Linked DNA regions of Caenorhabditis elegans. The protein of the gene in region 1 interacts with the protein of each later gene in a pairwise test. Each region holds a gene or a part of one and is shown on either strand. Other genes may lie near its edges. The genes, in order: ftt-2, mat-1, emb-30 and F53C11.5.

Evidence for each region.
Region 2: the proteins of ftt-2 (region 1) and mat-1 interact in a two-hybrid assay, tested with the Caenorhabditis elegans proteins (one large-scale study listed by BioGRID).
Region 3: the proteins of ftt-2 (region 1) and emb-30 interact in a two-hybrid assay, tested with the Caenorhabditis elegans proteins (one large-scale study listed by BioGRID).
Region 4: the proteins of ftt-2 (region 1) and F53C11.5 interact in a two-hybrid assay, tested with the Caenorhabditis elegans proteins (one large-scale study listed by BioGRID).

Annotation. Positions count from the first base shown.
Region 1 is NC_003284.9:11,603,204-11,607,092, forward strand, and holds ftt-2 (14-3-3 domain-containing protein), read right to left. Parts: upstream 2,217-3,889; 5' UTR 2,178-2,216; coding exon 2,127-2,177; intron 2,078-2,126; coding exon 1,705-2,077; intron 1,430-1,704; coding exon of another isoform or gene 1,266-1,429; intron 1,238-1,265; coding exon 1,074-1,237; intron 1,009-1,073; coding exon 850-1,008; 3' UTR 505-849; downstream 1-504. UniProt on the Caenorhabditis elegans protein: Required for extension of lifespan by sir-2.1. Required to modulate lifespan, in concert with hcf-1, acting redundantly with 14-3-3-like protein par-5. Promotes nuclear export of yap-1.
Region 2 is NC_003279.8:5,123,385-5,128,733, reverse strand, and holds mat-1 (Cell division cycle protein 27 homolog), read left to right. Parts: upstream 1-1,532; 5' UTR 1,533-1,546; coding exon 1,547-1,718; intron 1,719-1,767; coding exon 1,768-1,915; intron 1,916-1,967; coding exon 1,968-2,228; intron 2,229-2,279; coding exon 2,280-2,455; intron 2,456-2,650; coding exon 2,651-2,858; intron 2,859-2,901; coding exon 2,902-3,001; intron 3,002-3,046; coding exon 3,047-3,202; intron 3,203-3,245; coding exon 3,246-3,387; intron 3,388-3,434; coding exon 3,435-3,933; intron 3,934-3,981; coding exon 3,982-4,337; intron 4,338-4,387; coding exon 4,388-4,542; 3' UTR 4,543-4,819; downstream 4,820-5,349. Other genes in the region: prp-31 (U4/U6 small nuclear ribonucleoprotein Prp31), read right to left, coding at 1-393, 442-559, 608-720, 795-884; Y110A7A.9 (WD repeat-containing protein 11), read right to left, coding at 4,881-5,090, 5,133-5,349. UniProt on the Caenorhabditis elegans protein: Probable component of the anaphase promoting complex/cyclosome (APC/C), a cell cycle-regulated E3 ubiquitin ligase that controls progression through mitosis and the G1 phase of the cell cycle.
Region 3 is NC_003281.10:9,435,439-9,443,449, reverse strand, and holds emb-30 (Abnormal embryogenesis protein 30), read left to right. Parts: upstream 1-1,989; 5' UTR 1,990-1,991; coding exon 1,992-2,159; intron 2,160-2,204; coding exon 2,205-2,368; intron 2,369-2,412; coding exon 2,413-2,507; exon of another isoform or gene 2,508-2,552; coding exon of another isoform or gene 2,553-2,774; intron 2,775-2,819; coding exon of another isoform or gene 2,820-3,284; intron 3,285-3,330; coding exon of another isoform or gene 3,331-3,540; exon of another isoform or gene 3,541-3,543; intron 3,544-3,593; coding exon 3,594-3,688; intron 3,689-3,701; exon of another isoform or gene 3,702-3,751; intron 3,752-3,918; coding exon 3,919-4,331; intron 4,332-4,389; coding exon 4,390-4,641; intron 4,642-5,000; coding exon 5,001-5,255; intron 5,256-5,316; coding exon 5,317-5,431; intron 5,432-5,477; coding exon 5,478-5,662; intron 5,663-6,043; coding exon 6,044-6,403; intron 6,404-6,451; coding exon 6,452-6,664; intron 6,665-6,720; coding exon 6,721-6,859; intron 6,860-6,908; coding exon 6,909-7,022; intron 7,023-7,222; coding exon 7,223-7,294; intron 7,295-7,342; coding exon 7,343-7,786; and 2 more. Other genes in the region: putative tyrosine-protein phosphatase pir-2, read left to right, coding at 90-121, 506-641, 689-813, 860-1,358, 1,405-1,692; putative 3-hydroxyacyl-CoA dehydrogenase F54C8.1, read right to left, coding at 2,553-2,774, 2,820-3,284, 3,331-3,540. UniProt on the Caenorhabditis elegans protein: Probable component of the anaphase promoting complex/cyclosome (APC/C), a cell cycle-regulated E3 ubiquitin ligase that controls progression through mitosis and the G1 phase of the cell cycle.
Region 4 is NC_003283.11:13,787,908-13,795,899, forward strand, and holds the start of F53C11.5 (Zf-C3H1 domain-containing protein), read left to right. Parts: upstream 1-1,979; coding exon 1,980-2,054; intron 2,055-2,152; coding exon 2,153-2,252; intron 2,253-3,109; coding exon 3,110-3,343; intron 3,344-3,925; coding exon 3,926-4,375; intron 4,376-4,827; coding exon 4,828-4,905; intron 4,906-4,951; coding exon 4,952-5,043; intron 5,044-5,087; coding exon 5,088-5,316; intron 5,317-5,539; coding exon 5,540-5,645; intron 5,646-6,089; coding exon 6,090-6,635; intron 6,636-7,066; coding exon 7,067-7,279; intron 7,280-7,327; coding exon 7,328-7,696; intron 7,697-7,744; coding exon 7,745-7,849; intron 7,850-7,933; coding exon 7,934-7,992.

The DNA.
Region 1 (3,889 bases):
CCTTATATTATCGGCTGTAAAAACCCCAATTTTTTGGTTGTTAGCTGGCGCCGCCACCTGGCGTTGCAAATGAAACCTACCCGTCCAAATAAGTAGTTTTCAAGTATGTCACTAACCAAAATTTTGCTATATCTGTAAAGCCAATTTAACTAGAAATAAACCTATGAAAGTGTCATGTACCGGAGATTTAATCCAGGACTCCACCTTTTCTTATTCCTCAATGAATATGAACATTAAATTCTAGTTTTCATCTTTGTTCATATCTATAATAAATGAAATAAATTTTGAATTGAACCTTAGCAAGTGCCTAAGACGTAGTAGTTATCTTGGTTAAGGAAGAACAACCTGCAATAACAAGATGTCGCTAAAAGAAAACGTTCGTTTCAGTTTTCTTTTCTCATTCGAACTTTGTTCAATTGCACTAATTTTTATACATTTGGATGTCAATCGGAATCCTCCCCTCTTAATATTTCTTCGACGTGATTATCTGCGTTAATTTCTCATATTGAAGTTGGTGTTACAACTTTATTATGTGTATTCAAAAGCTTGGGGGTGTTTCGAATGTCGAGATTTGAAAGGGGGAAAAGCCGTAACAAAACGGAACATTGAATTGTATGGGTAGAGACGGGAAGTTTTGATGAGTGGGCTCAGCACAGAAATTTGAATAACTTCTGCATTTGGTTGATGGGAAAAGGGGAGTGATTGATGAATTTATAGAAAAAAATGGAAAGAAAAACGATGGTTTAACTAGTCAATGGTAATAAATAAATCATATGACAAATAGTATTATTTATCATTTTCAAGATCGAGGTGAGGGGTGTGTGGCGGTAACGTGTCGGTGTGAAGGAGTTAGTTGCCTCCCTCTGTCTCGTTGGCATCAGTGTCATCGGTGGCAGCGTCCGAGGTCCAGAGAGTCAAGTTGTCACGGAGAAGCTGCATGATGAGGGTAGAGTCCTTGTATGAGTCCTCGTTGAGGGTGTCGAGCTCAGCGATGGCGTCATCGAAAGCCTGAAAGATTAAAGGTAATCAATAGCTTTGAAGTTACGATGCTATGTCAAAAACTTAACGAGCACCTGCTTGGAAAGCTGGCATGCTCTATCCGGGCTTGCTGCTACTTCATAAAAAAACACCGAATAATTGAGTGCAAGACCAAGGCGAACACAGTTCGTTGGTGACAGATCTTTATTTGCAATTTCAAGTGCCTCCGCGTAAGCCGTTTGTCCAATGTTGGCTACTGCTAAAATAAAATAAAAACATTAACACACCTGCTTGGCAAGCTGGCAAGCCTTGTCCGGGGCGTTCAAGATCTCATAGAAGAAGACAGAGAAGTTGAGAGCAAGTCCCAGGCGGATTGGGTGAGTTGGTTGCATCTTATCCTTGGCAATGTCGAACGCCTCTTGGTAGCTTTGCTGCGACTTCTCGACAACCGCTGCAAAGAAGGAATATTCATTTCTGGTCTTCTTTGAAACGAGTATGACTATGAGAGGCAGAACTCCCTAGAGGAGAACCCCCAATGAGCTGCCCTAGAGTTTATTTTCAAAAACTACGCATCGATGTGGAATTGGGTCGCGCCTGAACTCCCGTTCTCTGTCTTCCCTATGATATCTTTCCACACTTCACACAAGGATGCATAGCTTACGAATGAGGGTTAGAAACGAGTGCACGGTTATGTCCCAATTACAGTCATCATTTTCAATCACTTACAGTTTCTGTCGTCTCCGGAGGCGACCTCAGCGAGGTAACGGTAGTAGTCTCCCTTCATCTTGAGGTAGAAGACCTTGGACTCGGCGGCTCCAGCCTTTGGAATGAGGAACTTGTCGAGCAAGTTGAGAACGTCTTGGCAGATGTCGCGGAGCTCCTTCTCAACCTTCTCACGGTATTCCTTGGCCATTTGTTGCTTCTTCTCAGATCCTTCGGTCTTCTGCTCAATTGAAGAGATGACTCTCCATGAAGAACGACGGGCTCCGACGACGTTCTTGTAGGCAACGGAGAGAAGATTGCGCTCCTCGTTGGAGAGCTCAGCTCCCAGCTCGGTGACCTTCTTCATGGATGCGGCCATGTCGTCGTAACGCTCAGCCTGAAATTAAAGTTTTAGTATTCAAGAACATCCTGAGACATCTACATACCTGCTCGGCAAGCTTGGCGCGGTTCACGAGCTCTTCCTTTCCGTCAGACATAGTTGATTTAGTTGCTTGAAGTGGATGAGTCACTGAAAAACGAGAATATAAAGAGTTTGATACAAAAAGGTCAAATGAGAAAGAGAAGAAAGAGGGCGGTAAACAAATGAAGATTGTTTGAAGAAAGCAAAGAATGGCTCCTTTCCGTATTCTTATATGATATGAAACTGATGGGACATTTTCATCTCTTCTAACACGAGGCGTATGAGCCCTTGTAGAAGTATACACAATGCATCAAGAAGAAACGAGAAGGACGTTGTCGAGCGAGTAATGTTGAACAGAGTGAGCGGCACCCCTCCCAGCCCTCCCTCTCGTTTTCTGTGCGTCTCTCCCTATCTGCCGAAAGGAGCGCGCACCATCATTTTAGGGTCTGTAAAAACCATTCAAACTGCGAATTTCAGAATAAAAATTATATATTCTGAGAGGGGAAAGTCTGTTTCATCAGCTAAAGTGAAGAAAATATAAGTTTTGATATCTGTGTTTAAAAAGAGCCGTTTGGCGCGCTACAAACACACAATTGCGGAGTGATTCGAGGGGGCTGCCAACAGAAAACCGCCGCCTCCTACGACTCATAAAGGGTCTCTTTCGCAATGTGTCAACAAGAGCGCGCACCACATTTCTTCTTTGAAGGAAGTCAACATAATTTCAGATATATTAGATGAAAATTAGATATTCGGGTTCGTCTTTTTCCGGGCTTTTAGTTGACTAGAAACTCGGCCTAAAATCTTGAACTTTGAATATTTTTGTGCAGAAAATAGGACGAAAACATCGGACATGCGGAGGCTTCTAGGGGGCTGCCTTTTGCCCACCCACCAGGCGCTCGGTCGTCATTTGAAGTCGCTCTGTTATTCAAATAGAAAGAGCGCTCACCATAACTCTTTGGGCCATAATTTACCTTCAAATTATCTTGAGTAATGTATGGTCTGAAAATTTGAAAATGTGACTACAGAAGCTTGCCGTTTTCAAAGTTAAATGATGATTCTTGCATGTTCCTGGATGTTTCTGGAAACTTGGAGCAAATTCAAACAATGCGGCAGCGCTTTGGGGGCTACTTTGACGACCGCTGCAGACTTGTTCTAAATCAATGACCAGCGGCGGTGGGCTCGGAGGCTCGGAGCTGATGCGGTTGGCTCTCGCTTCACAACAGCCTAGGATCGAATATGCAGGGCGCGTAAACATGCAGGCAAAACAGGCTGATAATCGTGTTACTTAACTTGAAAGTGCCTGGTATTTGCCTTAAATTACAAAGGAGATTCAGAAAAATAATTAGCATGATAAATTTACAATTCTAAACTACATATAAGGCCAGGTTCTATTCATTCTTTTCATTAATTCATATGTAGAATTTTACAAAAATGTTTATTACAATAGTATCTGTAATTTTTCCTGATGTTTCTGAAACTGTAACTGGTATTTTGTACAAACATCCATATCAATTAGAATTGGTGTCGCGGAACACATCCGACTGTTGTTTGATCTTCATTTTTGTTGTCTTCACTTCCGATTTTCGAGGAAGTACATGTACATCTTCATTCTTCCTATCCCGAAACCTTTCAAACCCCATTCTATCAAAACAGAATTAGGAACAACAGATGCGTGGTGTGGTGCGCAACTATACAGAGACCTTCAACGCAATTTACGTCTTATCTATTCCACATCTTCTTTCACCGTGCAGTGAGGTATACTCTTACTCATCAATGAGAACTGTTGTC
Region 2 (5,349 bases), on another chromosome or scaffold:
GGCAGTAGTAGTTGAGCCGAGCAAAGCAACCAGATTCGGGGCAATCAGAGCCATTCGCCATTCTACAAGTTGGTGCATTTCGAGACGATTGACATGAAGTTGAGCAGCCAAATTACAAGCATCCATGACGGTTTCCAGCTCATTTGGCTCAAGCTTGACTCCTTGTGTTGTTGAGACTGTTACACTGACCACCATGCATGTTGAGGCATCTAGAATTCCGCCGAGTTGTTCTTTCACTACCTTGCTGTTGATCTCGTTTCCCAGTAACTGTACAGTAGCCAAATAGGTCAACGCGTTAGGAACAAGCGTTTCTAGTTCAGGAAAGCGCTTTTCATATTTATCACGAACAAATTTGTGAATCACATTGATCTCGTTGTCGATATCTGCAGCGACCTGAAATTAATCATTGCCTTTTTTGTTTCTTTTTCATGATGTACTTACGTGGGATAATTTAACAATAAGCTTGTATTGTGGATCTGCTTCAAGAGGAGCTGTCACCTTCACTTCATCCTGAGGCCGTTTCAGTTCAACTTCCAATTGTTTCACTAGTGCTAAATATCTGTAAAAGTATTTTAAAATTATATATTAAAACAAAACTAAAACTAACTCATCAGATCTGGCAAGCTTTGCTACATCGTGCACTGATGCATATTTAGTTGTATCCATCGGTTCTTCTGTTGCTTCTTCAATATCATCATCGAGTTCTTCCTTTTTGACGCCCTGAAAATTACAATTTTATCAGATGCTGCAAAAACTCTAGATTTTAAATAATTTAAATTTTAAATTCGATTTACCTTAAGGTTTTCTCCGAGATCTGGAATGTCTTCCAAATCCTCATCGTCGTCATCGTCAAAATCAGCCATAAGTTCTTCAGCCAACGACATTTTTAGGTAGTTTAAAGATTAACTGAAATTTTAGATTAAAATAGTATTTCAATTCTCTTAGTTAAAAGAAAAAATGAACAAGGCAAAAAGAAAAAAAGAAAAGAAAAAGAAAAAAAACAATTTCGAAAAACATTAGGATTGCGAAGTACGGTATGCGACTCCGCAAACACAAAAGCACGCAATGCACCTCATCTGACGACAATTGAAGACCGGCCGCCGCCGGCTGTAGTCGGGCGCAAAAGTTCACGTTGTACGCCGTTCCCCGTCTTTCTCGTTTCTCTTCATTGCTGCAGTTCGCTGGAAATGATCTACTCTTCAATTCGATGACATTTTCTCGGCAATCGATTCATACAACGTTCACATGCCTGCTGGCAAACTATTGCATTTTTTCCAAGCTTTGTTTGAAACCAATCGATAAAACTCAAATGATCCTCATTTAATGTGAACGCCTGATCAATTTTTCTTCGATTTCTTGGCACTTTTAGTTTTTAAAGTTTGAGTTCAATTGTCAGTATAATCGATACAATAACCTAAGGGATGTATTTGAGAAATGGTCAAATTGATTTTCGTTTCCCTTTTGTTCGCCGATATCTCTTTTCTTGAATATCACCGCTTTTCTCGATTTAATAGTTTATTTAGCGTTTCTTCAGGTCGCGAAGAGAATGAAAGAATCAGCTGCGTCTGTAGCTGTGCGGCCTCAATTGAGAGAGGTGTTCGAGCGTTTTCCAGCGGACGCACACCGAACAATTGAAGATGAGATTCATGAAATGATGAAGTGTTACGCTTTTGATGATGCTATTTTTCTAGCCGAGCTTCATTACGAAACCGATAAAAGTGGTTTTCGTTTTTAATTCATATTTTAATTTCAATAACTTTTTTTCAGGCAACAACTCCGAATCTCTTCTTCTATACGCTGATTGTCTGTATAGAGCCAATAAGAAAGAGGAATGTTATGGTCTCCTTAGTTCAGTTAAATTGAGCGGAGCTAGACTCTTCTATCTACTTGCAAGGGTATCCTACGATTTAAATAAGTTAGTTTGTAATATATATGTATATTTATTCATTATTTTAATTTTTCTTTAGAATCGATGACTGTAGAGGAGCTCTTTTCGAACATGACGATGGAGTGATACGGAAAGATATCCTGGAAGAGCCACGGGTTGCATCACATGCTAATTTGCTTCATGCTCAAATGCTTTGCGATGAAAGTTACATGGATCTGGCTTTAGAATCTTGTCAAAAGTCTCTGGATGAGAATATTTTGTTGTGGTCAGCTATCATAACTTATTTACGGTTTGGAGGTCATGATCTCGCCCATACTTTTGAAAAACATCACCGAAAATCGTAAGATTCTGAGAATGTTTAAATTTAAATATTATGCCGACATTTTTATAGAAATGGTCTATACCTGGATAGTCCAGCTTCGAGTTTGAAATCCGAAACACCATCACCAAATGTTCCTGGGCCGTCGTCTTCTTCAGCTGCCAGCACTGCTGAACCTTCCAGACTGGAAAGTTCGGTCAGACGATCTACACGCGGTACGATTGCTTCGGCGAATCGCGAGACAAGAAGTGAGTGAAGCGGAAAAAACTATTGAAAAATTTTCCGTAAATTTATAGGAAGTATTTATAGGATTTTCTTTTTTGGAGAATAAAATTTTGGAATATCAGTTTAGAAAAAAATCCGACTCTAAAAATGCGATTTTTCAAAATCCACTATTAAAAATTTTTGAAAGATCATGCTGAATCAGAAATTAAAAGTTACAGATACCACATCAAACATCACTCCAAGACAATCCACTCCTGGATCCACACCTTCACGTATTAATCCAACTGCCCCGAGAAAAAGCTCCAGAATCAGTGAAATGACGACACGACGTACCGAATCTTCAGTCACTGGATCTCGATCATCGTTATTCACAGAACCCGAGAGACCACACACGAGGGCTACACATAGCTCTAGAAATCGCGCAAAGTGAGTGGTGACAGATTTTGAAATTTTATTTCAATAATTTCAGTGCTGCACTAAACAGCGATACGGAGAATTCGAATGCATCGAATACGAGAACTCGGAGTGGAATTGCATCAGTTACCAGAGGGTCATCGTCGTCCCAGAGGGTAACATTTATTTGGACACTGAAATTAATAATTTTCTAAATTTAGACCAATCCTGTGCGTACTTCAATCAGAATTGCTGACGCCGCCGCTGCTGCAAACAAGACTGCCAAAACTCTGAGTCAAAGAAGACGAAATGAAAAACAACCTTTGGTATCCAGAAACTCAAATCTTGCACGGAGTTTGTCGGGTTCTACCAATTCTGTAAGAATATAATGACCAGTTATTTTTCTTCAATTATTAGCAGCTTCAGGTGGCATCAACAGCTAGTGAGCGTCCATCAGAAGATGAGGTATCCCAGATCAATCCTCCTCTCCCTTCTGTGGCTTCTTCTTTGAACAATGATGAACCTATGGATATTGTCGATGGAGTTTACGATCCAGAATACAGTATGAAATCAGTTAATCAAAAATTAATGATTTTATTTGTTCTTCAGAGAAATTATTTGATGTTTATCAACACATTGCACTTATTGAAGAGTCAATCAGTACATACAATTGGAGATCGGCTGATGCTTTATTCGCAAAACTCGATAGAGATATCATTCTTAACACGTCTATGGTCCGTCTTCAGTTGGGAAGAGCTTGCTTCGAGCAATCCGAATACAGAGAGTGCCGGAACATTCTCGATGATTTGCATAAACGTAGAAAGTGGAAGGTTGACGGAACCGAGCTATTGTCCACCTCAATGTGGCACCTTCAAGATACTCATGCTCTTTCGGCTCTTTCTCAGATTTTGACAACTGAATCACGGGAACGGCCACAGAGTTGGTGTGCCGCTGGAAATTGCTTCTCATTACAAAGACAGCATACTCAGGCAATTGAATGTATGGAGAGGGCTATTCAACTTGACAAACGATTCGCCTACGCATACACTTTATTGGGGCATGAGCTTATCGTTCAGGATGAACTTGACAAAGCTGCGGGATCTTTCAGGTATTTATAGGATCATGAAAGTTTTTAATTAAAACATTAAATTTTCAGATCAGCACTTCTCCTTTCTCCTCGCGATTACCGTGCCTGGTATGGTCTCGGGTTGGTTCACCTAAAGAAAGAGCAAAATCTGACTGCACTGACCAATATCCAGAAGGCTGTTAATATTAATCCAACGAATCGTGCAATGCTCTGCACACTGTCCCAAATCGAGCAACAACGTGGACAAATCGATACTGCTCTCGTGCTGATTGACAGGGCTCTCACTCTGAATCCTCTTGATGTGGCTTGCCGTTTCAATAGATCACGTCTCTTGTTTGAGGCGAATCGAAATGAAGAATGTCTAGTGGAACTTGATAAATTGAAAGCTAGTTCGCCAGATGAAGCATTCATTTTCCATCTGCTTGGTACGTATTAAAATTAGTTATACTATTTTATATAAATTTGAATTTTTCAGCACGAGTTCACCGAAGAATGGGAAATACTCATTTGGCTCTTCTTAATTATAGCTGGGCGGCTGAGCTGGATCCACGTGGCGAGCAGAACATCACTGACTCGAATGTTATCAATCGCGAGGAATACGAGGACGACGAGTACGGATCGCCAGTATAATTTTCATAACTCGTTCTACTTCTCGATAGCTCATCATAGCCAATTTCGTGCTATAATCGTCTTTTTTGGCGCGGGTTTTTCACTCGTCTTTTCTTTCTTTTTTACTTTTACTCTGTTCTATACTAATCGCGGATATATATATATAGTCTGTCGAAGAAAATGCTTTGAGACTATAAACTCATTTTTTGTCAAATTCTTAAATTGTAAAGCAGGAACCCATTTATCTATATTCACAAGCTTTTCAAAATTCGCCTTATAAATTAGAATTTAAATTATATATCACTTTCCGCTATTTACACAGTGATTATTTCACAACCAAACACGAAAAAACTAATTAATCACGGTGTAGGACAAGAAGACAGAGGTGGAGTGGATGTGGTTGTTCGTAGAATCAATCGAGCTAGAATAGCATCAGCAGAGGATGTCGCTTCAACAACGTCGGGCCAATTACGACGAGATGCTTCGGCTAAAACACGAATTTGTTTAGCCTCGTCGGCAAGGTGTCCGATCCATTTTGACTCGACTTCAGTAGGATCGTCCAATCCCATCTATAAAATTAATTTATACAGATTATTTTTTTGTTAACGTACCTTTGCATATACAATACTTTTCGTCCATAATTTCTGTGATTGTAGATACTTGCAAGCATCTCCACCAGCTCCGACCAAGAACAATAGTTCAACTCCGTCTTCAATCAAATCGGATGCAATCAAATTTGTAGCGATGAGCTTTATCAGAGATTTTGCTTTTTCGTTATCCTGACAAGAGACTAGCAACGCTGCTTTGATGCTTGCGTACCGAAGATCT
Region 3 (8,011 bases), on another chromosome or scaffold:
TTTGGCAATTTCTACTCGACTATTCAGCACGCGTATCAAACCCAATCCATACTTTTCCGTTTGTTTTCGTCTTGCCCTTTTGAGTAAAAATGGTGCGCGTGTGCCGAGTAGTCCCTAAAGAGTGAGCATTTCATTATTTTTGTTTATTATTGGTCTTGTTTGAAGCTTTTCTTGGAGACTGCCAGATCAGAAGGCCAGATAAACTCCATGAAACGCTGTTTGGATTTGGCATTGATATATTTTTTATATTTTCGATAACATTTGTGGTCATTGCATTGATTCTCCGTTTCACTACCGCCTATATTCCTTCGTCTCGTTTTAAATATAAAGAAATTAGGAACATGCGTGTATGTTGGCGGTTGAGAGAGCAGTTGAAATGATTTGAATGAGAAAATTTCAAAAACCACTGCAGTCGCTGCCCTACACGATTTCAGTTAGGTGTGAGCGATTAAAACTTGTTATTGCTTTACATGTTTTAACCTCAAGTTTCATGTTTTATTTTCAGCTGGTCTAAATTTCAACCGGTTGGCAATGTCATTCCACGAACCCGATTCATTGTTTTCAAGACACCAATCAACAGTCAGTTATCCACGAAAATTCATAAAGAGCAGAGATTCACAACAAATGATTTATTTCGACAGGTAAACTGGACACATTGTTTTCCCTACATAACAATATTTTGTTTCAGTTATCGGAACGTGGTCAGTACCTTGGATTAGTGGTCGACTTATCAGACACGGACAGATACTATGATAAAAAGGATATTACTGGCATGTGTGTACAATATGAGAAAGTCAACTGTCCTGGGAGAGGGTAAATCACCAGATACCGTATTGAAACTAATAAAATTAACTTCCAGGTTTATCGAAAGAGATGATTGCGTTGAGTCCTTCCATCAAGTAATTCAAGATTATACTGACAAATGCGACGATCCAGATGCTTTGATTGGAGTACACTGCACTAATGGTATTAATCGATGTGGCTATCTGATCTGCCGTTTTTTGATTGACCGGCTTGGATGGAGTTCACATGAAGCAATTGACGCATTCGAACAAGCCAGAGGATATTCGATTGAAAAGGGAGCATATGTGATGGCTTTGCACAAGGCTGCTAAAGACAAGCGAGATAAACAAGTGGATTCGGATTCCGACTCGTCTGAGCGCCAAAGAAAGAAGAAGAATAAGAGAAAACACCGTGAAATTGTGGAACATGAAAATATTGTGCTCATTAATACAATTATTGGCGAGTTGGGAAGTCAAGCTGCCAGCGTATCTGGAACCGACTATCAAAATTCACCAAACGGAGTATCCGTGGACCCAGGACAACCACAACCGCACCACTGGGGATTCGCTATCAAGGTAATAGAGTATCACATCTTTATATTCACCAAGTAATTTTTTGCAGAGATCGAAATACGCTCAACTCAATCAACCTGTTGCAAACGGAGCCAATACACCACCTGAGCCGTCAGAAGGAACACCACAAGAAGAAGAAGAGTTCGAGGAAGACTTTGAAGAGATTGAAGAAGAGACGGAAACAGAACCAGGAAAAGGGCAATCAGTATCATCTAAAAGACGTGCACGAAGGAATAGAATGCAAAAGTACATGCAGGTTATGCAACGCGGAAGATTCCATGAAATTCAAGCTATTCGAGAAGAGGTCGCATTAAGTCACGGCAGTGCCAGAGATTAGGAGGCAGTGCTTCGTTCTTCTATTAAATTTTTTAGACTTTGTGAATCATTTTGCTCAATCATTTTCGTCTCCACAATGTTCTCCCTGTTCAACTTTTGATCTTTTATCGTTCCACTCTTGTACCTGACTTTAAACGTGCACTACGCACATTATTCATATTGTTATAATTAATCAATTTTTATGAACTTTGTGATAATTCCATTTTGTGTGTTGTGTTCTTTCAAATTTCTAGGACTTGAATATTGAATACCTGTTCGAGCTACGGACCAGGCACCCCTACTATCGATTCTTCATTTCAGATGGACTTTTCAATAGTCAAAACTCAAATTCTCAATAATAGGCGGACATTCCGCACACCATTCAAAGTGTCGAGTATGTGTTTCAGTTCGCAAAATGATCTCATCGCTCTTGGATCGAAAACTGGCGAAATATTGTTGAAAAGAACATCATGGAAAATGATTTGGAAGGTAACAGGAAGATTTCAAAAATATTATCAAATCAGGATATTTCAGACCAATATCAATATGATTCAAGCTGTCGGAACCGAATGTAAATTGGACAGCTCTGTTTCTGCATTGCACTTTTCACCGGATGGACGCTTTCTCGCAGCAGCTACAAGTAAAGGCATAATACATTTGTTAGATGTGGAAACGGGAAAAGTTCGATTTTCAGTCAAGTAAGAGATCTATATAATAGTTCGAAATATCTATTGAAATTCAGAGCTGCATCCGAAAAAATCGCCAAACTCCACTGGAATTGTGTTCGTGAGAAGCCATTTATAAGCAATCTTGGAGAATTCACTACAAGAATCAAAAGTAAGAATGTTTTATTCTATCAAAAAACAGAAGTAATCTTTCCTATTATTTCTTGTACGAGTAGAATCCGTCACCAGTTTTTCTTCCAAGTTTTCCCTCGGCAACCAGCTTATCTACCAATGGACTTGCTTCGAATAGTTGTACTTCTGGATACTTTGCTGCCCATCCATCCATGACGAATTTGACCGTGTCGAGACCAATGTAGTCGGCCAGCTCGAATGGTCCCATTGGATGTCCTGCTCCCAACTTCATGGCTTCATCGATGTCCTGAAACGATATTTGGAGTTTTTAGAAAGCTGAAAATCAACATACGGTCATTGATGCATCTCCTCGTTCATACATTCTCGCTGCTTCGAAAAAGTATGGAATAAGCAGACGATTGACAATGAATCCAGGACTATCCTTACAAGCGACTGTTGTTTTTCCAACAGCTGTTCCAAACTTGATCAGCGTTGCATATGTTTCATCCGAAGTGTCATCAGATCGAATTACCTCGAGAAGCTTCATAACTGGCACCGGATTGAAGAAGTGGAGTCCTCCGAAGCGAGTTTTATCTTGCAATCCTTTGGCGACATCCTCAAGAAGGAACGATGAAGTGTTCGTGGTCAAAATCGAATCCTTCTTGCAAGACTGCTCGATTTGGGCAAAGATTCCCCGCTTCAAATCGATGTTCTCAATGGCGGCTTCGATGATCAGATCGGCATCAGCAACGGCGGTTGACACATTGTTACACGTTTTGATACGTGACATTGTGAGAGTCACGAAATCCGACTTTTCCTGGAAAAAACAAGAATGAGAATCTTCAAACAATTACGATATATACCTTATCAGTTCCTTTTTGCTTTTTTGAAAGATGCGTCACACTTTGACTAATTGCCTTCATCGCTCTATCAAGTGCTTTTTTATTAACATCGGCCAGCATCACATTGAATCCACTACTCGCCGTAACTTGAGCTATTCCCGATCCCATCTGCCCTGATCCAACGATCGCCACGTTTCTGATGTTTTGCATGGCACACTTTGCTGTGAACATCATCTGAAATTAATTCTAATTAGAGACTCCTTAATCAATATCGAAAATTTCAGATGTTGAAGCCATCGAAGGAGCTATCGAATTGGCAGAAACGACACCGAACATCAGTCAAGAGGAAATCGCATTCGTATACCAGAGGCTTGATGAGGTAAGAAACTAACCTTGATGATATGATCGACGTGTTTTGCAACAAACAATTGAGAGAAATAATTGATTTTTCAATCAAATTCGACCATATCAGATCTACTGACGTGGTATTTTCCGTGGAATTGTTTAATTAATTTCACATGAACTATTCGAAATTAAAATTTGAAAAAATCGACAGAATCTGACTTTTTTCAATGAAAAAAAAACTGTTCCTCAATAATTTTGTTTCAGGATGGTTCATCTTTCAAACACGAAGATGCACATAAAGAAAGTCTCGAGCGAACTCTGATTTCAACTGAAACATTCCGTGAATCTCTTCAAAATACGATCCTTCTAGCAACTGATGACATGGATTCGAAGATTATTGTACTTGTTGCTGGTGTGTTCCCATATATGGAAATTGATATCAGTGACACACTTCTACAATACAATCAAAGCCTTCTCATGCTCTACGATATGCACTACAGTTCAGCGTTTGGTGGCGTATCATTTCTCGCCACTACATATGGGCCATTTCTGGACTGCAAACAAAATGAGTTGAAGCCTCCTGGAGCTGAACCAAAAAAAGATGGCCAAGGATGTCATACGCTGCTTTTCAATGTTAAATTGAATATTAATTCGTCGCTTTGGGATACTGCGCTGAGGTAAGCTTTTGAATTTCTGCGATAAGCTCGAACAATTTACTTTTAAAAATAAATTTAGATACATTCGCCTTCTATTTGGCTTCAACTTGTACAGCATTTCTCTGGAAACTACAAAACGAAATTGGGAAGAGCAAATAGACAATCTTCACTCATTATTCGATACAAAAACGAAAGCTGTAAAAATTGGAAATGTGCTTCTCGAAATGCTGCTCTCCGGGTCGACAGATGCGGCTGGCGAGGCATTTCTTGAACGAGGTCTCGGAACTGATGGATTGGATAAAATTGAGCTTTTTGCAACGAAGCACATGCCGTATGTAATATTACCTGAAATGTTGCGATTTTTGGGTGAAGGTCTCGACACGACAATTTTTGTTAAATGCAAAGAGATGAGCGCCTTTAAAGAACACAGCGGAATTTTAATTGATTTTTTAAAAAGTTTTTCCTTAAGAAATTTTTTAATTAAAACAAAAAAATTTAAACAAATCATGAAAAAAACTTGAGCAAACCCGATATGTAAGTGTGATTACAGTACTCTTTAAAGGTACACACCATTTTCGCATTTAACAAAAACTCGTCGTTTCGAGACCCGTTACGGTAGTTTTGTCGTAAAAAGCGCAACATTTCGCAACTGGAATATATTATTTGTTACTAATTTTAATCGGTTTTCAGGGAAGTTTGTCGTATTGCTCGGGGACAACTCTCAACGTCAGCCCGAAATTTGTGCTTCCAGCGATGTGAATTCTCGACATCATTATCTCGTTATGCAAAGTTTATTCAATTGAAAGATGACGACAGTTTTCTTTATGATGAGGATCCGCCAGCATACCTGTCAGAATCGAATATTTGGCTGAACACTTTGGAAGAGAAAATCAATATTCTTGATATGAAAACTCGTCATCTTGGAATTCAATGCTTGACTATGATGTAAGAAATCTGACGATCTAGATGTAGACAATAATGATAATTTAAAAAAACCAAATTTCAGGCAAGAACTTGGACATCTCGTCAAATGGATATCCATGACAAAACCATTTGCAAAAACGATGAAAGTTAATGCTTTGATGAAAATAAAAAGAATGAACATTGCAAAAATTCTGCTTGTAAGCCATTTATATCCTTTACTTTTATACAGTACACTTTTTTCAGTACATTGTGAGAAATTTCATTCCGGATCCAGAAGCAGTGAAAGATATCGAAAACAGACTTTTCAACCTCAAGGAGTTGGTTTCGAAGCAAAAGAAAAAAGATTTGGAAGACAAGTTTGATGAGGTTGAATATCTCTATAGACTTGAGAGAATTGCCGAAGTTGAAAGGAAGAAATTAATCGAAACGTATGTTTTGTAACATGACTTCTAAATTTTTGAAGTATTCTGAAACTCAGAATTTTTTTGCGGAAAATTATTGAGATATTTGGAATCAGGATGCCAAAAACCCCTATAATCCCCAGATTTGTTGGAAACACCCGAGGCATCGTGTTTGCTACTGGATCATAAGATTCCCGAAAAAACCTCAAAAATCAAGAACTTTAAGAATTTTGGTGTAAAATTTAAAAAAAAATCTCTGAAGCTCTTACAGCAGTTTTCAATTTTTTATATTCACCAAGATAATAGATTTATTGACACCCTGATATCAAATACCACAATAATTTTCTACCAAAAATTATTATTTTTCAAATATATTCCAATTTCAATTTGTAATTTATATATTTTCAGATTCCACGAAAAGTTCCGATTTGCCGATCTAGATGATGACGACTTGACTCCATTGCTTTTTCAAGAATTGGATCATCCTATTGACATTTTTACTGATAGTATGATGGAACAAAATGATTCTTCCCCGTTTCTTGAAGAAGACGAAGGAGAGCCAGAGCAAGAAGAGCAAAAACCGGATGAGGAGCCTGAACCAGAAGGAGAACCACAACCTGCATGTGATTTGGATAGAGTTGGCTCATTTTTCGAGAAAGAGTTGTCACAAAAAGCGCTAGAAGTTCTTCCAAAATGCGATGAAACATTCGATTGTGTTCTGAATGAAAGAGGAAGTCGTATGAATTCAATAGAGATTCAGAAAATGGGGTGAGAAATTGGAAGTTGACTAGTATAATTTTATATTCAATTTTTTAGAATTCTACGGGTCCTTGAAGATTTGGCTGCCACACTATCTTCTCCTCAGAAAATTCATTGTGATAAAGCTGGAAATCAGAAAAAGTTGGAAGTTTCATTCATTTATGAAATTACTTCAACACCTACCCATCAAGGATATCAAGACGCAAAGATCAGCAGTGTCACTCCATCATATTACAAAAGACATCCATTTAATCAATTATCTGGAATGGGGTAATCTTTTCATTAAAAGCCAAATATTTTTGACTATTGCTTATTTCTAATTTCAGACGATCAATTCAAGTGTCTGTGCTTCAAAAGAATGAATTCAGCTCAATCGTCATTGTACCAACGAGTGATGTATTGCCTGAAGATGAAAATGAAGTGAACGATCATGTTGAGAAGCTGAAGAGATGCTATGAGTTTGAGGTATTTTATATATAAAAGTTTTCACATTTAAATAAGCTTTTTTTTTTAGAAAATTGATGTCACAGTTGATAAATCGAGCGCCGAGAATAGACCACCAGGGGAAACTGATGCAATGGAAGTGGATAGTAACGAGCTGAGAATTGATGTGGATCTTGGACCAGTGGTTTGTTTGCGGATAATTTTAATTATGAAAAACACGAAAAACATCACAAAAATGCTTTAAAAAATTTTAATTTTCGGTTTTCCCGTCAATACCTAACGAGACCCAATCATTGGGGGCGGAGCGTTCTCATTTTTTTTTGAAAGTGGAGCACTGTTGCGCCTCGATTTAAAAAACAAAATTTTTAAACGTATTTTTTTCAGGTACCTGAGTACGATACTCTCATCGAATTGAGTCAAGTTCACCCCCTTCATCATGGAGAACTTGTTTTATTGGTATTTTGATTAGTAATTACTATGATTCCACAAAATCACATTTTTCAGGGAAAATTCACATCCGCACAGGAAGGAACTGGCGTGATGTCACAAATGATGCGATCAATATCTTCATATCCTCATGAAATCCCAGAAGATAAAGATGTATTTGCAAAGAATAGCTCTGAAGATGGAAGTTCAGAAATTCCAATCGAAACCTTAATAATTCATCCAACAATTCAACTGGCTGCCTATCTTCACGATGACGGAAGTAAAATCACGATTGGAGACATGAAACCAGAGGTTCCACCGATCGCTGACTATGAGGAGAAGACTGTTCGAAAAACTTTCCGCGACTATCAGAGACGTCGAGAACGATATCGGGAAGATATGGGAGTAATGAACATGAATGATGTTCAGTATGATGTTCTTGTTCAAGAAGCTATGGATAGTGGACGTGACTTGACGGATAATGGAGAATCAGATGAGGATGAAGAAGATGATGACATTTAGTTTCCAATCGATGGATAAATTATTGCATTTCTATGTTTATATTTCGTATTACTTTGAAATTATTTCTCCTTTCCAATCTATTGCATTTCTTTTCTTGGCTTTCCCTCTTACAATCTCATTTTGCTTTTTGCGGGCACCTATAAACGTGTTTTTAGTCAAAACTCGTTTCTTCTAGTTTTAGTTTGATGCAAATGTAAGGCTTGAGTTTCAAAGTTTTCAAGTTTT
Region 4 (7,992 bases), on another chromosome or scaffold:
CAAAAAATGTTTTTTTTTCGAAAGGTCTTTGCATATTGAGAAAATTTTCCACAACACGTATAGTAACTGTTTTGTCGGTAAAAACCAGTAAAATACTTTTGCAAATTGGTCAGTTATCCCCCGTACATGCGTATTCACTCATCCGAAATCTGGTTTGTGATCGAAATAGCAAAAAAGTGATCGTACTCACAAGTCGTTCATCATCTTGGCGCCGTGTGTGTTGGCCTTCAACAAAAAAATCCCTGGTCACATGACATAGGACAATGAGATGAAAGATCTTTCCGAAATGGGTGAGAGAAGAATGGGATATAAAAAAAAGTTCAATATTTTATTATTGAATTCAATTTTAGCTCGTTTCCAAAATCTGCTGGTTTTTCAACTTTTGCATTGAATTCGTGGTAAATAACAGACAAAAAGTCTAACGCCTCGACCCGACATTTTGCGATCATCTTTCCGTTTTTGCACGGGCCGCGAATAAAATAAACGATCGATGATCAATAGAAAAGTGTTTGTACTATACGAATGGCTCGCTTCAGAGTCACTATCAGCTCGTTTTTAAAGTTTATCGGTCGAAGGGAGCCAATGGGGCGTTTCAGACAATTTTTGAAAAAAAGTGCAAAGCGATTATTGATATTGACAGTAGCAGCCCTATGCGTCAGAAATTGAAAAAAAAACAACTTTTCTAAAATAGATGTATATTTACATCGATAGAAAGACGAATATAGTGTTTATTAAAACATTATTGCTCTCTAGCATCTGAAGGGTGGTGTGATGTATGCGCAGAATGTTCTCGGCGTTGTGAAAAGTCGATATTTGCGGGCGGAATAATTCTTTGATGGAGGAAAGAAAACATCGCTTTTGAATGTGAAAAGAACGGAGGAGTGGCTGAAAATAAGTGTTTTTCTGCATTTGCAGTCGGGTGGCGGGTGTTGCGAAAGTACTTACACTTCCACAAGCCGGGCGGATGAAAATAATACAATGGAACGGCTTGTAATAGTATCCTACAAAGAACCTCGGGGAAAAAAAACAAGGAATACGAAAAAAGACGAAGGAGAAAATCTTCGTCAAAAGCTCAATTAGTGATGGCGAGAGGAATTGGCTGAGATCGAAAGAACGCAAACGGGAATATGTATACACTTCAAAGTCTAATCGAAGATGAGGAGAAAGAAGAAACGGAGGGACGGATGCTAGTAAAACACAATTTGGCCGAGGGTCTCGAAGAAAACGTCCTATACACAATTTAACAAAGTTTTCTTTTGTTGAGCTCGCGAGCGGAGAGACTGCAAAATGTTGTCTATGGCCGATTATCATATTGAAAATTGATTTGGAAAGGAAACTGATAGCTCAAGGTGGCCTAAAATGTTGCATGGCTTATGCATTTTTGGAAAATCTAAAGAGATGTCTAGTGTTGTTCAAAATTTCTAATAGAACTGTTTGCCAATTGTTGACCAAAGACTCTTGCTCGGGCGGCATTCTCACGTATATCTAGGAGTCTAACATATTTTCTCTTCATCGTTATCATCTATACGTCCGAACCATCACGTGCTTCTCCTTTACTACATATACGAAGATTGGACGAAAGAAAGAAGTGAGGAGAAAGAAAGAGCGAGCCCAGGAGAGGAATTATTTATTGAACCGAGGTCTCTGCTTCAGACTCTATGTTTTCTCTACTTCCATCTTTTTGTCTGCGTCTCGACGATACATTGAGTTGTCAATAGAGCGGTGTTTCAACACCAACGGCAACCATCCCCCGACGGAAAGGAGAACGATGGCTGTGGCCGTCCACCACTCAAATTGATCGGCCACTACAAGCCTTTGTTCATTCGGTTGGGAGACTTCAGGTCTGCGTCTCCACAACACCCAAACACTATATTAGAGTATTTCTCTTTGCCGATTTATGTGCTGGTGAATGAGAACAAACTGACTAAGCACTTTATTCTCCCCCTATTCCATCATTTTATCACTTTTCATCCTGTCTTATGGACAATAATCAGAGGTCGGTGCCGAGTTCGCCGGCACCAGGTCACGGGTCTTCTGGATATTTTTCTCAACAGGTATATCCATCGTTCATATTTTATTCCGGTCTGATCAGTTTAATTGAACTGTAAACTATGAATTAATAGTTTAACCTTCTCAAACAATTGAATCTCAGGAAAGTACCCATCACGATGAGCGAACAACACCTCCAACAGCTTTTCATTTTCCGGCATCACATCAAGGACAGCCGGCACCTGTAATGGGCCAACCACCTGGTTTGTCACTTTCTTTTCATCGGTTCATTGAGCTAATGCAAGCACCCAAGAGCCATATTCGAGATAAATACGACACAAATATTTCGTAATTCACGTGACCCACACCTAGTTCCGGTGGCTCGTATTTCAAAAGCTTATTTATTCCGATCTCGTAAACTGCCAGTCAACAAAATTTCGTGTAAAAAAATTTTGATTTTCATTGAAACCAATGAACCTGAAAATGTTCGTTAATTTCACGCTCGATTACTCTTATTCTTCGTTAACTTTTCTCGATTCTTTAATACAATTCCTTCCACAAATTCTCCCAAGATATCCATCTAGCTCAACAGAATTGAAAATGAGCCAGAAAACGGGCAATATGGAGCTCACGAAGAATCCTCCTAAGAAATTGGCTCTCATTAGAAATGCATTGGTTTTCTCTTGTCGAACTGTGCACAAAGGACAAGACATCATTCTTATTTGACCCCTTCTATGTCACAATGCTTCCATCTTTGTCAATTACTGATCGATGGTTGTGAAGAGAAAAAGTCACATATACAGAAACAGACACAAAAAACCGGTTTCACAAAGAAATAGAGACCGACACACACACAAAATTTGACGATTTATGGCTGAACATGAGACATAGTGTGCCATTAAAAACAATCATTACTTTTTATTAACATCACTTCAATTTTTTGTCCTTCTGTGAAACTTTACGCGCGCGAAAAACGTGTCTTTTTGAATATATATCTCATTTATATCTGTGAGGTTTGACCTAATCATAAACCAATTTGATTGCCTATATAAACTTGTGTTGATTGTGTATTGAGTGAAAAGCTACATCAGTTGTATCTATAATTTTTGAAACTTTTCAGGCTACCCAATGCAGGCGCATGTTCTTGTCGATCCGGTCACAGGACAACATTACATTGTTCCACAGTACTACCCACCTCCAATGTATCCATATCCATCAGCACCACCTCCACATCCAAATGCTCCAATGTATTATCCATATGGTCATCATGCACCATCTCATGCTCCGATGCCTTCACAGAAAATTCTACCGCCGCCTACTACTTCGGCTCCGAGTAATTCTGGCAACAATTCTAGTGAGTTTTTAAGATTTTTTAAATTACAAAAAACTGCTTTGAGATGAGCTGAATCAGGGCTGAATTTTAAAAAAAGTTTCGAAAATGAAACAATTAAAAAAATAAAAAAAGTTTAATAATTTATCCGTACTTGTGCGTTAGTTTTCGAGTGTTTTTTTTTCGGAAAAAAAGTACAAAATTGAAAAAAATTAATGAGATTTTTCCTTTTTTCATGTTTTTGGCGAAAATTTTAATTTTTTTGTTTTTTTTTTGAAAAAATGTGAAAAAAAGGAACGAAAAAAGCGAGAAAATTGTGTTAAATTTTTATTAAAACATTATTCAAAACAATTATTAAAAGAACATTCTAGAAAGTAACGTTTCAAGCTTTAAAAAAAATAGTTGTTTCCTATTTTCGTTACCGGACATAAAAATGAAAATTAAATTTTTAAAAAAGAAGAAAGCAATTATTTTCCGGACTCAGGCGGCAGAAAACAAAAGTTTTCGTTTTTTTCCCCGAAAAAAAAATCTAAAACTAAACTTTTCGCCAAAAACACGAAAAACTAGAAATTTTCAGCTCTGATGCTAATATTAAATAATTTTCAGTTAACTATATGGGAGTTCAAATGTACAATAATCCAGTTCAAAGTCACGAGGAAAAAGAAGGTTCAGAAGATGCAATGTCAACAACTTCAAATATATCCAGAAGTTCTTTAACACTTATGCAAAATCAGAAAGTACCACCCACGCAACATCAACAACAATTTGGACGAGAGAATAGTCGAGAATACATGTATTTACATCGATCCCCAACTACAAATCCTGCTCCACCATCACCCTTAATGCGTCCCAAGCTGTTTCATCAACGATTAGAAACTGTTACCGATTCACGTGGCGGAACACAATCGGATTTCGAAGGAAAAACGCCAACGATGCGACAGAAATCAGTTGATCATCAACCATCATCGGCGTCAGATCATGAATCTGGAAAACGATTCTCGAGAACATCGTTCGGAACGCCAGCAGCAGCTGCTTCAATTGAAGAAATTGTGAAAAGTTAGTTTTTATTCCAAAAAATAAAAAAAGAAAAATATAAATTCAAAAATATAGCTTTTTTTTTCAAAAAAAAGCACAAAAGTTTTGTTGTTAAAACTTTATTAATTTTTCACTCTTATACAAAAAATTAATTCTCTACATGAAAGGAAATTGGCCATAATGTCTGAATGTAACTGTAGTTTTTAAAAATCGGAAAATCGAAAAACGAAACATTTCGATTTGACTTTTTATCTAATTTTGTTTATATTGATGAGAAGAAACATAACAATTTATTTTAAAAAAACAATGACCAAATTTTAAGCTAATTTTTTAAAAATCGAATTTTTGTTTCGAAATATCTGAAAATCGGAAAAAAAAAGAACAGCCATTTTTTGAAAAATTCTGTTTCTATTTTCTGTCATTTGAAGAAAAATACTTTTTTTTCACTCTTTAAGATAAATTTGAATTTTCAGCTGTCAACCCACCTGCAAAATCAGTCCGAATGGAAATTAATTTTGCCGATGTATTGTCAATGCCAAGTGAACCCAAACGTAAGATTTTTTATCCAATTTATAATAAAAATTATAAATTTTCTAGCAGCAAAGAAGTCCAATGCAACAGCATTCACGGTAAATTTGGGAGAGGAGAAAGAAGTATCTTTACAGGAAGCCGCACGGACTCTAGCTGAGGTACTCAGAAAATTTAACTGTTTTGGAATTATTAAAACTTTCAGAATCGTCGTAAAGTAAAGCTTGCAAAAAGTGCATCTCATGACCGCACCCCTTCAACCCCGGATGCCATTGCAGCGAGTAAAACCAACAAAAATTACTTGCTTGAAAGATTGTTGACTGGAAAAACTGCAATTGATAATAGCAATGAAGAAGAATACGTAGAAGGAGAAATAGTAGAGACACCAGAAGAACAATTTGATGCTCGATCGGAGGCTCTCACTTTTGTTATTGGTGCGTTTGAATGATTTGAAAATTTGAAAACATTGCGAAATATCTAAAAAACCGACCATAAATTGTTGAATATCACATGAAAAACGAAACGATGCAATAAAAATCCAATAGAAATTATCTAAATTTCCATTGTTTTCGAAGAGTTGTTTGTTTGATGTTTCCTCACACAAAATATATATTCAAAATAGAAATTTGATTGTCTGAGAATTATTTTATTTTCCAGACACATCAAAACGAAACAACGGTGGTGGTTATGGAGGACAAGCACGTTTTCAACAGCAACGAGTTGTACAGTACTCAGATGATGATGATTCTGATAGTGATAGCGAGTAAGTTACGGAATTAAATTTTTTTTAAATTATTAAATAATTGTTACGGAGAAAAATTAAATTGGAAAATTATGTTATTTCCTGAAAAATAAAAAAGAAAAGAAAAAATCACACTTTGAATTTTCGAAAAATTATTTTAAATTAGTCAGAGATGGTCTAAAAAAATGGTCGTGATTTTATGTGATTTTTTAACTGAAAATATACGGTATTTTGGAACCGAAAACTTTGTTTTAAAATTTAATTGTGAACTGAAATATATTGTTTTGAGATATTGTTTTAACGAATTTTCAAGAAGTTTCAACTTGGCAAAAAAAAAGAAAAATCATTCAAAAAATTTTTTATTAATTGTTTTTACGGATATATTCGGTCATTTTATGACCCATTTTCATAACTCCATTAATAACTCCATATTAAGATTAATTAAATTTATTTTAAAATTTCCAGATTTATGGATCAGTATGCCAATTCTCAATCGCCAAGACCCTCTCAACCACTTCAAACAATTGCACCACCACCATCACAATCATCTAATATTCCACCACCGTCTCTCCCTTCTCCCCGTCCTTCCGCCCTTCCAGCTCCTGGATTTTCTCGCCAAATTTCATCGGCAACTACACTGACGGCCCAAGCTCCTCCTCCTCAAGCACTGACGTCTCCACGAACTCCATCGACCTCCGCCTCTCCACGAACATCATCTCGATTCGATCGATCTGGTGGTGGAGGTTCTGACTTTTTGCAAGAACTCGCAAAATTGAGAATGATGGCCGGGCTTCCGGCTGCTGGTCCAACTGGAAGTGAAGCTGAACAGAAGGCAATGATGATGGCTCAACAACGACCAACGACGACGTTCAGAAGAAGTGAAGTAAGCTCATCCGCACGAGCTCCAACAGTTTCTTCGTCGCAAAAAATGGTTGGACTTGGAGAAAGAGGAGGATCAAGAGCATCGTTTACTGGGAAATCGAAGGAGACTAATACTACACCAACACCAACGTAAGTATCTGGAAATTATTGAAAAAATATAAAATTGTTTTAAAAATTATATTAAAATCCAAGTGGAAGAATTCCAAAAATCGTGTTTTAGATGTTGCACAAATTTCTCGATGAATTTTTTATTACCAAAATCAGGGTGGTTGCAAAAAAATTTATTTTTTTCATAATGCTAACTATCTAAAAAAAAAACATTTTTGAAAAAAATGTGTTTTTTTTCGGTCCGAAAAAACCAAAAAATCTATTGCCAACAACACAAAAAAAACGGCAGCTCTGTCAAAAATGCGAAATTTTGCATCAAAAAAGGTACCCGGTCTCGAATAACCGTTTTTTTAAATTAAAAATAGTGTGATCTTTTCGGAAGTATTGTAGCGAAATTTCACTTCCTTGATATATTTGTCAGTTTTAAATTTTGATTATTTTTCTTCTTCCAGACGTCGAAGCGAGAATCGTAGATCCCTGACCGGAAACTCATCTCCACAACTTTCAAATCTCAATCGTCCTCCATTCAAACCTGGAACACAACGTGGAATTATGATAGGACAAAGTGAGCAACAAAGGGAACAAGAGATGACTGCATGGCTTAGACGAAAAGATTATAATCCGATGAAGGCTGCGGCAGCTGCAAAAAAGCCTGAAATGACAAGGTAAATTTCCAATGTTTAATTCCCATCTTTACACCATCATTATTATAGAGAACAACAATTCACATCTCGTCGTTCAATGACTTTCCATAATACAAATGAAGCACAATCACCATTTGGAAGAGGACCTTCTGGAATATTACCATCTCGACCAGCTCCACGTAATAGATCTCAAGAGCCACGAGATATTAACAATGAAAAGTATCGATCAGTACAAAAAGATCAACGATTGAAGCGTACAGTTGATATGCTATCTCAAAAATGCAAGAAGAGCATAGAGCTTATTAGAATTCAAAACAAAGGATGTTTATCAGTTTCTGTAGAAGATCTTTTATCTGCAGCTGCTGAAGAACCTCGACTCAATGAGACACTCGATGATCAGCTCGACAGATTGTCGGATGCTTTCGATGCAGTACAAAGGTATTTTCAATCAAATTACTTGAATTGTTCAAAATAATAATTTTCCAGATATTTGGAGCAATATTCGCTTGACGGATACAACTCACCAACTTCAGAAGATCGATATTTTGACGATGATGTTCTAGATTCAAAATCGACATTTTCTGGTGTGAGGTAAGATTTTAAGATTTTTTCTAAAATAATTTTCAAAGCGTCATTTTTTAAATATCACTATAGATTAATATGTTATTTTTCCAGCACTCATCAAGAACGAAGCAATGTGCCATCAACGGAGTCGTTGACCAGTTCCTACCGAA